Linked DNA regions of Danio rerio. The protein of the gene in region 1 interacts with the protein of each later gene in a pairwise test. Links are inferred from orthologs where the notes say so. Each region holds a gene or a part of one and is shown in the gene's direction. Other genes may lie near its edges.

Region 1 (6,111 bases):
CACACATAGAAAGTAAATTGCATCATGATAAACCACCTCAAGACATGGCCAATTTATAATTGCAGCAAACTGTTTGGAATCAGCAAACTGTAATAAAAGTGTCCAAGATGTCCAAAACCTTTACATGCAATGACCCAGAGACTGTTTAGATGCATGTCACTGATGAGAAGATGATGGATGTTTACCGTGTGAAGACCAAAGTGGCCCTAAACACCCACAGAGCAGGCACAAGACATCAACATGACTTGACGTTGTACAAGATTGACGTTGTACCCCAGCGGTGTAGGGACAATGCATTTTATTTGGAAATGAAAATTGGATTGACGTCAGAACGTCAGAATGTCCAATGTCCAACCTAAAAGCAACCAGATCTAATGACGCTACAGCCTGACGTTGTGTGAATGCTACCACTATGACGTCTATCAGATGTTGAGTTTTGGTTGCTCGTACCTGACGGATAAATAGCCGCGTTTTCACTATCGCACTTAAAGCAAGTGAGCCAGCGCGAGCCAAAGCCAGTCGCGTATCCACTGTCACTTCCGGGGCCTAATCGGGCCAAATCGGGGCTTTCTTGGGGCCTGCGGCCGGCCTTTTTTGGCCTGCCGAATACCTTGGGCCAAAGAGGGAGTATTTGACCTCAAAATGACATTGGTTTAAGATGTTGGCTCTGCATTGGATTTTGTTTGCTTTCTAACGCAACCTAAAATCAACCAAATATTAACATCATTTGACAAAATAATTTGGTCCTTAGACGCTGGCTAGACAATGAATTTTGGTCACCTGACACCACAACCTAAACTTATCCTAATATTAACGTCTTATGACGTTGTGAACCTGCTGGCCAATTACTTGATGCACTACAGAATGTTACGTTTACACACACATGCACATGGCTGTGTCCGAAACCGCATACTTCCATACTATATAGTACGCTAAAATCAGTATGCGAGCCGTGTAGTATGTCCGATTTCATAGAATTCGAAAATCAGTATGCGAGAAGTACCCGGATGACTTACTACTTCCGGCGAGACTCTGAAGTGCGCATCCCAATGCACGCTGCGCTATCCCATAATGCCCCGTGAGAGAATTCATGAATGGAAGTGAGGCGACACAACTGACGCAGGTAGGTCACGTGTCCATGACAAATTGGCGGATGTAGTACGTCCGAATTCCATTCAAACTTTTCACATTCATACTGTATAGAACGTACTTTTCTAACGGCCGAGTAGTACGTTTAAATTCAAATGCAGTACCTACTGAGTAGTAGGCGGTTTCAGACGCAGCCCATGTAAATTCATCAGCTTTTAACAGTGTAATACTCACTACTGACTACTCTTGAGTACTTTTGAAAAGGTCTATTTTTTACTCATACTTTGAAAAGTATTTACCACAGATACTTTTACTCACACTACATTTTTATGTAAGCCATGGTGCTTTTACTTGAGTATGATTTTTCAGTGCTAGAATATGAGAAAGTTTTCTTTTTCTTTTTTTCTTCAAAATCTTGTTATATTCCGCTGTGTATTCACTTTTCTCAAAATGAAATATTTCAAGAGCTTTGTTCTTCTTGCTTTTGTTACAACTCAAAATATTTAAACATTTTCTTAAACTTGAACTCTGCATATTCATGCATATTCAAGTTGTGGAACCACTTAAGTGTGATTTAATAGTCAGTTTCCTGTTACTATCTCTTTAAATAGATTGCAAAAAATAATAATAAAGAACTTGTCGATGCGATTATTATATATTGTTACAATTATATTTGAGAAAGACATCGCTCTTACTTCGCAGAGTTGTCTGTCTCATTTGAGTTTGCCTAAATCTATCATGCAAATTATAATTACTAAAAGGACAGAAAAATAATGAGTATTGAGGGGGCACCCGGATTTGAACCGGGGACCTCTTGATCTGCAGTCAAATGCTCTACCACTGAGCTATACCCCCTTTCTCATACCACACTGCTCCATGAAGTGTTATTGTAGACAAATAAGAAATGTTCATTCTGGTATTTCTTTATTGATTATGTCAGTGGCCTATATATATGATCGGCAATATTAACAAAGATCTATTTATGGTATAAACCGCTCTCAAATATAATTTCATACGTCGTCGTCACATGATAACAAAAGTATATCCGGGGACTGACCGGAAGTACATTAACTCTAGTCGGAAAGACAAGCTAGATAAAAGATGGTAATGTTGAACTTCAGTTTTTACTTTTATTTTATTTTATTTCCCTTTTTTACATTGGGCCATTTTTTTAGATGGCTATTTAGGTTGTTTTCAGCATACTATGAAACTATGTACATATAGCATTGAAAAGCGCTTATTTCAGCTGTGCCGGTTGTTAGCTTGCTAGCATAGCATGGCAGATCGTGTTTATTTATTTCCTAGAGCAGATTAAGTTATCAGTTTGCAATTAATGTCATGAGCACTTATTATTTGCTTTGGCATTTTATTTATGATACATATTATTGCTTTGTATTGATTTTGTCGGCTTTTTTGTTAGCATCTGAGTGAATTGTGATGCGTCATTGCTTCAACTCCAGTCATCGCTTAACTTACTTTCAGTTTGTATTTAAGTTACCTGTAAGTTAGGGGGATTTTTGGAAAAGGTTTTGGGAGATTAAGACATCAGATCAGGCCAGAACTATTATTAATTGTTTCCTGATTAAATATTATAACTTAATATATTGATAATAATTGCATTTTCCAGAACTTGAGCAATCCAGTATAACCTGATATCAACGAGACATTTTTATGTAGTCATTTTTTCACTGACAGGAATAGTTTTACAGACAGTATTGCATTTTACCTAAGATTTAGCATATATCTAACCATTGTTTAAATACGTTAAAGAGAAGAATCCTTTATTATACAAATGTTTTGTTGAGGTAGTTTGTTTTTCTTATTAATAATACAACTTCAGAAAATATTCTTTGCCAATGACTAAGAACTATTGTTCACAGTCAGTATTGAAGTCAATAGAGGTAAAGTTGGTTTTATATTCGGATATTCAGACTTTCTCCTTAATAATATAATTTCAAAAAAGCAATGCTTAACATTTCTTAATAGGGAAATTATATTAGCAGCAAATGATTATCAAAGTACAGCATTGTTCACAGTGAATTAGATAGAGTTAATGTTGTTTAGTAGTCATACTTGCATACTAATTCCTATCGAATATTCAAAGTAACATGGTAAACAATATAGACTGCTAAATTAACAAATGTGCAAATATAAAACCAACTTTACCTCTATTTGAAGTCATACTTCCATGCAGTTTCAGACTGAATATTCAAAGTCGTGTGGTTGTCTCTGTTTTTAAAATGAAGCAATGTGTAAATATAAAGCCGGCTTAACTTCAGTTTTTTCCCCATATAAACAATATTTGCTAACATTTAAGTCTAACATTGATTTAAGTGCACTTTTGGTGTTTCATTCGATTTTGTTCTGCATATTCGTATAGTTTTGTTGATGTCTGTGAGTTTTTTTTTTTTTTTTAAATGGTAAATGCTATTGATGATCGTTTTGTCGTGTTATGAAAATATGCATTTTTGGTGTCACAATACTATAAAGACAGTCATGTTCAAATGATGAATCTTATTCCTTTTCTTATACTTGTAAATTCTCATATTTATAATTTGTAAGTTTTCCTACAAAAATAAAGATTTTATCTCCTAGAAGGACAATTAATAATACATCTAATTAGTATGGTTTTCTATGGAATAAAAAAATAATAGGCAAAATTGTAAACAATTAGTTTTATATAACTCAGTGTTTATGTGCAACACATCTTGTTCACAGAAGCTTTTAATGTTGTATGTTATGTAATTATTTTCATTATCTTTTGCATAATGTGTGTGTTAATAAAGACATAATCTTTTAGAGACATGAACATGTAGAGTTGTAACTGTCAAAAACCCATTCGGGTCTGTTTTCACATCAGCGGTGTTTAATTATCTTGCTGTGTGTGTTTTCCTCAGAACACTCGTGGCCTGCGCTCTCAGCTGAAGGACAGTGTTCCTGTCACAGGTCTGTGTCCTCAGGCTGGTCCTTATGGGGTCCAAGACTCTCTGCGCAGAGGGTGAGTTTTGCCTACAGAAACCTGTGCTGTGTTTGTTTCTGCCTCTTTTACAATTTTTCTTTTGACATTTTTCTTTGCTCATAGGTTCTCTAGTGTCAAAAATGAGCTTCTACCGAGTCATCCATTGGAGCTCTCTGAGAAAAATGTAAGTGGAATGAAGAATTTGTCTGTCTGTGTGCAATTACATAGAACAAGCTCATTTTTGTACATATAAATGGTTTTAAATGGGCATACATGTGGGTCATATGACATAAAAATGTATATTTTTTAATTAAAACTTAAAATTTGTTACCCTGGAGCACAGAATATTTATGTTGTACAGGTATATTTTTAACAATATGCAAAAATACATTATATATACTGTTGAAGTCAGAATTATTAGCCTCCACTTGATTTTTTTTCCCTTTTTTAAATACTTCCTAAATGATGAACAGAGCAGGGAAATGTTCACAGTATGTCTGATAATGTTTTTTCTTCTGGAGAAAGTCTTATTTGTTTTATTTTGACTCGAATAAAAGCAGTTTTTAATTTTTTAAACACCATTTTATGGTCAAATTAATAGATAAATGCATTAAATCGACATGCATTCACGAGCGGTTGTCGCGACTCGCTAGAAATGAGAATCACTTGTAATGTTGATTAATGTAATATTGATTACACCTACCCCAACCATAAATCCAAAAAGCTTTGTTTTTCCCATCTCTAGCATAAACTACTATGGCTATACTGAAAAAGTCAGCAGATAGTTTACTTCAGATCATGGAGAAGAAAAAAACAAGCAAACATTTTAAACATGAATGTTACAACTTAGTTAAACCAGCAATATCAGTTACTCAGCTTGTACTTTTAATAATGTTTATGACTTTTAATATTCATTCATAAGATTAGAAACCTGTCCATTTTGTTGGGAGTTGTTAGAGCATGGTGTAACAAAAGTGTAACTCCACCTTGCTTTTTTTATTTATTTTTTATCAAACCAGTTTCAGCTTAACCAGGACAAGATGAATTTCAACACGCTAAGGAACATCCAGGGTCTCCATGCGCCCCTCAAACTACAGATGGAGTACAGAGCAGCTAAACAGGTATCATTCGTGATGCTTGTTTACATGTGAATTATGCCAATAACACTTCATGATCATTATGGAAGATGATCACGTGTAAACATTGTACTTTCAGATTCAGCGTTTGCCCTTCCTCCCAAGCTCAAATCTGGCTCTGGATACTCTTCGAGGCAGCGATGACACCATCGGCTTTGAGGACATTCTCAATGGTATGAAGGAAACATCCATGATAATAGCACAAAAATCACCGGTCAAGTGCTTAAAGGAGAACTATTATGCTCCTTTTTTATGAGACGTTAAAATAAGTCTCTGATGTCCTGTGTGTGTCTGTGAAGTTTCAGCTCAAAATATAACACAAATAATATTTTATAAAAGAAATTGATCCTATTTGTGCCATTTTGTTGACTGTTGCTTTAAATTCAAATGAGATTGTGCTCTCTTAAAAAGAGGGTGGAGCTACAAACACCTTTGTGTTAGCATAATGGCAGATTCAAAAACAGGACTGACAAGGGAGAGACAGTCAGTAATGTGCAGGGCTTTACCCCTCTAATGACACAATATTTAAAACAAGTGGCTAAGAAATAACTAATTAGATTTTTTTTTCTCATGAGCCATTAAAAATCCTTACTGTCTAACCCAATTGACCTTATTTTAAAATGCGGAAGTGCGCCTGTTTTCGCGATTGTCTTAGAACTTCCGTTTCAGTCGCCTATGGGAAAAAATAGTAGGAATAAAAAACGGTCAAAGTACTTTCTCTACAAACAAATGTTTGCATGACTATACAGACCAAGTAGAATAATATAACAAGGAAATATCAGTTTGCAACATCAAACAGCGAAACGAGCAGTTTTTAATGTCTAAAAATGAATGGAAGTGAATGAGACCGGAAGTCTCATGCCAAAAAGATTCAAATGGCTGCGCCCGCTCGTAAGGTGAATATAAGTCTGAAATTTCATTCTTTGT
Region 2 (5,850 bases), on another chromosome or scaffold:
TGGTGTTATTGGCAATTCAAATTTGCCAATCAAATTATGCTTGCATTACTCTTCCTACTTTAATTTTATATCATTTTTTACTTAAGAACCTTGAAATATTACCCTTTTTATTTCATGGATGTGCACTAAATGTCATTCTTGTCTTTAGCTGGAGCAGGCGAAGGCTCTGGTAAGTGATGCCATCCAAGCTGGCATCATGTGTGACCTGGGATCTGGAAACAACATTGACCTGTGTGTCATTACAAAAGAGGGGGTGGACTATATCAGACCTCACAAAGAGTCCCCTTATAACTACAAGAGGTAGAAAACCTTGTCATCTTTTTATTTATTTTTCTGGTCACACATTGTACTATACAACTCACATGCATTAACTGCATATATTTAAAAGTTGATGATATTTAGTTTGATGTTTGACGTTGGTAATTTATTGATTCCTTTCTATCATTGTGTTACAGACAAGCCAAGTATAAATATAAATCAGGTACAACACCAATTTTAACTAAAACCGTGAATAAGCTCGAGCTGGACTTGGTGCAGGAGACTGTTCAGATGATGGAAACATCTGCATCAAGTTGATCCGAGTCATACACCATGATGTCTGGAATGAGGAAGAGGGATCCTTTCAACTCAACTGCTGACAAACAGATGATGCCATTATGTTTGTTGTTTGTGTTCTTAATTCCATCACTGGTAGACCTGTGCAGATAATTATCAATAAACCATTACATTTTACAGTATATACACTGCAAAGCCTTTTTATTGCTTAAAAAAACACTCCAGGAACATGGTCTGCATTGTTGATGCTAATGCTTATTTGACATTCCTAAATAATTGAATAAAGCCTAATATTATTTCAGAACAGTAATGAAAAAGTAAAAATACATCTGTAAAATGTATTATGCAAAACTGAGTTGTGTAAATATGTGTAGGTATTTTATAATGCAGTTTTCATAAATTTAACAACACAAGATTATGGCCAAATATCTCCACTGTGGTCTCATCTGTAAAAATATTGTTCTATAATCTTATGGTTTGTTCAAATGACACTTTGCAAACTGAAACTGCTGCCATGTTTTTATTTTTTATAGAAAAGAAATTTCTTTTCACAACCTTTTTAAACATACCATAGTTTTCCCATCTTTTCTAAATGTACTGATCTTGAGCATGATAATTTAAATGTTAACTGAGGTCTTTAGAGTTTGTGGGGAAGTTTTGTCTGGCAGTTCAGTGTGCTTTACACCGTTTGGTCTTGGGATTAACTTGCTGTTAAAAATAAATGTGTTTACTCTTTAAAAAAATATTTTATTACACAAGTAATAACACATTAATATACGATTACTCATTAATTTTTTTTCCGCTTAGTCCCTTTATTAATCTGGGGTCTCCTCAGCAGAATGAACCGCCAACTTATCCAGCATATGTTTTACACAGCGGATGCCCTTCCAGTTGCAACCCAACACTGGGAAAATAATTGATTATGTTATAATAAAATAATAATATTTCTTTTTCACTCGTTTATTTATTTCCTCATATGGAAAACCATGAATTTCAAGAGATTGTCCTATACTTTCACATGACTGCTTACATAGATTCAGGCTTATTAAATAGATTAATTCCTATATGGTACACATTAGGCAAGTGATATCCTAAATCTAGGCCTTTGTAAAAGTACATTTTTGTACTTTTATCTAGCAAAGAAAAAGGCCAGTCAGTGCCTTTAAGACATCTAGTAATAACAAAGTCTGATAGCCAGTATTTTAAGTTAATTTAGGCTTGTTTACACGCATATCTTGTGAAAAATGTTATGCTTCCGCATCTTTTTCACCTGGTTTAACCTACATCAGTTAAATCTACATAGAGACTGAAGACGACGAGAGAGACTCCCTCACTCCCATTGGTCAACCCATCTGCAGAGTTTTCCCTCAGACAATCACTAAGTTATCATGTTGTTTGTAGATACTCTTAAACAACATTTAATAACCTAAAAGACAACATTTATGTACACCTGTTATTCAAAGATATAGATTATGCTTTTAGTTTGTTTTTAAAGATACTTTCTGGTCGTTATCGAAACCAAATTAAGCTTCTCTGAATCTTTCGGTTTCGAAATCGTTGTCTTCCGTGCATGGATCGTATTTCCTTCATGTAAAATAGCCTAATACACTTTGGTTACTTCGCTTTTAGTGTTTTAATTACTGCCATTAGCTGTGCGTAACATACAGGATGGCTCTTTTGGACGTAAGTGGATATAAATATAATTCCGCCTCACAGTTTGGCTTTAAACAAACGCTTCTCGACCGCTCGAATCACTACAGTTTTGGGACCAAATGTCAGGAATTCGCGGTACCTGTTGGAGTTGACGTAAGTGTTTTTATGATAAAAAATCTAATACTTAATCCTAGCAAATATTAGCAAGACCGAAGTGATAAAGATGAAATATGTCGTGTTTGAAGAAACAAGATTAAACAACAATTACTCATAAAAATCAATATTTGATACACAAACTCAATTTTAGTATTGTTTAAGAAGGTGTAAAACAGGTAAGTGTTAATCAAAATGCATTTTTAAAAGTCATGGTTTGCTATGTATCTCCCAGATAATTCTGCTTATTGAAATATAGGGGGCAGAGTCTCAACAGTAGCCTAAATATAATTTAAACTTATAAATAAGCAAGTTTTCCTTAATTAAACATTATTATTCTGTGTTTCCATCAGCCCTCCAAGTTTCTCAAATCGTGTAGTTGTGAAGATGGCGTTTGCATAGATCTGAATCATGGCACCACAACACTGGCATTCAAATTCCGTCATGGAGTCATTGTGGCTGTAGACTCCAGAGCTTCAGCTGGAAAATATATTGGTAAGCAATCAGTTATCAAAACTACAAACACATTCATATGTTATAAAACAGGGTTGTTTTACAGCTCAGCCATGACATTTCATATTAAAGCAGTATTGGTAAACTTCATTAAATCATGTGTCTATGCTTTATCATGATGTGTTTCAGCATCAAAGGAGGCCAATAAAGTGATTGAGATCAACCCTTACCTGCTGGGCACCATGTCGGGCAGCGCTGCAGACTGTCAGTACTGGGAGAGACTCCTGGCTAAAGAGTGCAGGTCTGTCTCAGCATGCTTCAGAAGGGGATGAGCATCTGCTCACAGGATGAAATTACCAGTTTGTGTTTGTGTTCAATAGTGCTAGAAAATGTATTCAGTCTAATGTGGCTGAAGCTTAACAAAACTTTAAAGAGTTAAAGAAATTTCTACTAATCACTTTGATCCAGTTCTGGTAATGCAAACATCTTTAGGTATAAAACATTTTTAATTATATGATATATACTATGGATGCATGATGGCGCAGTGTTGCATGCCTCACAGCAAGGTTGCTGGTTCGAGCCCCGGCTGGGTCAGTTGACATTTCTGTGTGGAGTTTGCATGTTCTCCCCGTGTTGGCGTGGGTTTCCTCTTGGTGGTCCGGTTTCCCCCACAAGGCCAAAGACTTGCAGTATAGGTAAATTGGGTAAGATAAAATTGTCCATGGTGTATGTGTGAATGAGTGTGTATGGATGTTTCCCAGTACTGGGTTGCAGCTGAATAAGCATCCGCTGTGTAAAAAATGTGCTGGAAAAGTTGTCGGTTCATTCCACTGTGGCGACCCCAGATTAATAAAGTGACTTATCTGAAAAGAAAATTAATTAATAATATATACTATATAAGTGGTATGGTGGCTCAGTGGTCAGCACTTACAGCAAAAAGGTTGCTGGTTCGAATCCCGGCTGGGTCTGTTGGCATTTCTGTGTGGAGTTTGCATGTTCTCACCGTGTTCACTTGGATTTCCTCCCGGTGCTTTGGTTTCCCCCACAGTCCAAAGACATGCTCTATAGGTGAATTGGGTAAGCTAAATTGGCCGTGGTGTGTGTGTGTGTGTGTGTGTGTGTGTGTGTGTGTGTGTGTGTGTGTGTGTGTGTGTGTGTGTGTGTGTGTGTGTGAATGTGAAAGTCTATGGGTGGCGTGAATATATTTTATTTCATTTTCTTGTCGGCTTAGTCCCATTATCTCTGGGGAACATCCACACAGACACACACACTCATACACTACAGACAATTTAGCCTACCCAATTCACCTGTACCGTATGTCTTTGGACTGTAGGGGAAACCGGAGCACCCAGAGGAATCTAACGCGAATGCAGAGAGAACATGCAAACTCCACACAGAAATGCCAACTGAGCCGTGGTTCAAACCATCGACCTTCTTGCTGTGAGGCGACAGCACTACCTACTGCGCCACTGCATCGTCATGTGTATATATATATATATATATATTTTTTTTTTTTTCTCTTGTCTTAGTCCCTTTATTAATTAGGGGTCGCCACAGTGGAATGAACCACCAACTTATCCACTTGACCCAGCCAAGGCTCAAACCAGCGACCTTCTATAATATAATCTTAATATATATTATTTATAATTGTCTGATTCTGTGTCTGCTGCCCTGTCTGGTTTTCAATTATTTGGTCAAATTACTGGTTAGTAGTGTATCTGAATCTTATAGTGTACTATTACCCATGAATTATTTTCCAACCCTTTGAAACATATTCTTATAGTTTTCTCTATCTTAAAATAAATGTACAGTGTGCATAAGTATACAGATTTCTTTAAGTATACAGATCTCTTTATTTTTATTTGGTATTGGTTTGTCTTTCAGCTGTTTTATTTCTCACTTAGTCCTGATTAGGACAGTAGGATGGGTGCCAAACCCACCCTGGCTTTCCTGGTCAAGGCTTAATGGGAAGTTTTAAATACATTTTCATCAATTGTTTTTATTGATTAATAATGAAAGTCCATCGGTTTACAAATAACATTGGAATATAAAAATAACATTTATAGTGTCCCACTTTCAGAAACTGGTGCTCTGCATTAAATCATCCAAGTGCGCTCACAGACACACATTTACACACACCTGGAGCAATGGGCAGCCATATTTCTTTGTTGCCTGGTAATCAATTGTGGGTGAAGGGTCTCACTTTAGTAGTGTCTTTGAGGGTGGTGAAAGCACTGGTTATTCATTATGATGAACAAATTAAAGTGTATGCTTGTTTATGTAAGGATAAATCTATACATTGATCAGCATGTGTACACTGACTACAGCATACATGGCAACGTAAACTACAAATGTCAGCTGACATCAAATCCTCATTGGTTTCTGCATATAATGTGACCAGACACAATGTTTGAGGATCATGTCATTCTATCTGTATAGTGTTCTGTCAATATGTTGACCAGTGTTTTGATATGAACTATTAATTGAATAAACACTTAAATTTCACTTTGTTCATTATAAAAGATGATCATTTTGTTTGAGTTTGAATGAGATGACGGGAACTTTGATGGGAATCTCTGTCACTTCCAATTGTAGATACTCTTGGGACAAAGTAATTATTGATCACAGTGCCCCAGCAATTATGCATTTACACAAGGGAGGAAGATCATTATCTTGACTCCTATATGTTTATTATATATTAATATTTTTGTGTTTTAAAAACAGACTTTATAAACTACGCAACAAGCAGAGGATCTCAGTGTCTGCAGCCTCCAAACTGCTCTCCAACATGATGCTGGGATACAGAGGCATGGGCCTGTCTATGGGGAGCATGATCTGCGGATGGGACAAACAGGTAATATGTGTTTTTATGTTTTATGATCATGACAAGACTTATACACGATCTAGAGACAAAGAACTACCTGACACACAATTCTGTTATTTATGTTAATTAAATTGCAAGCTGCAAGTTCAATTATTTCAGAATGGTAATAAAATATTCAAAATTAAATGCATACTTTCTTCATACTTTCTTCA

The links.
Region 2: the proteins of pomp (region 1) and psmb8a interact in a two-hybrid assay, tested with the Homo sapiens proteins (2 studies listed by BioGRID). The link is inferred for Danio rerio from reciprocal best matches to the Homo sapiens genes POMP and PSMB8.

Annotation. Positions count from the first base shown.
Region 1 is NC_133196.1:43,979,870-43,985,980, reverse strand, and holds the start of pomp (proteasome maturation protein), read left to right. Parts: upstream 1-2,163; 5' UTR 2,164-2,190; coding exon 2,191-2,193; intron 2,194-3,986; coding exon 3,987-4,087; intron 4,088-4,171; coding exon 4,172-4,232; intron 4,233-5,067; coding exon 5,068-5,169; intron 5,170-5,263; coding exon 5,264-5,357; intron 5,358-6,111. UniProt on the Homo sapiens protein: Molecular chaperone essential for the assembly of standard proteasomes and immunoproteasomes. Degraded after completion of proteasome maturation. Mediates the association of 20S preproteasome with the endoplasmic reticulum.
Region 2 is NC_133194.1:8,161,542-8,167,391, reverse strand, and holds the start of psmb8a (proteasome subunit beta type-8), read left to right. Parts: upstream 1-1,937; 5' UTR 1,938-2,223; coding exon 2,224-2,361; intron 2,362-2,714; coding exon 2,715-2,856; intron 2,857-3,003; coding exon 3,004-3,115; intron 3,116-5,538; coding exon 5,539-5,668; intron 5,669-5,850. Other genes in the region: psmb13a (proteasome 20S subunit beta 13a), read left to right, coding at 149-300, 456-576. UniProt on the Homo sapiens protein: The proteasome is a multicatalytic proteinase complex which is characterized by its ability to cleave peptides with Arg, Phe, Tyr, Leu, and Glu adjacent to the leaving group at neutral or slightly basic pH.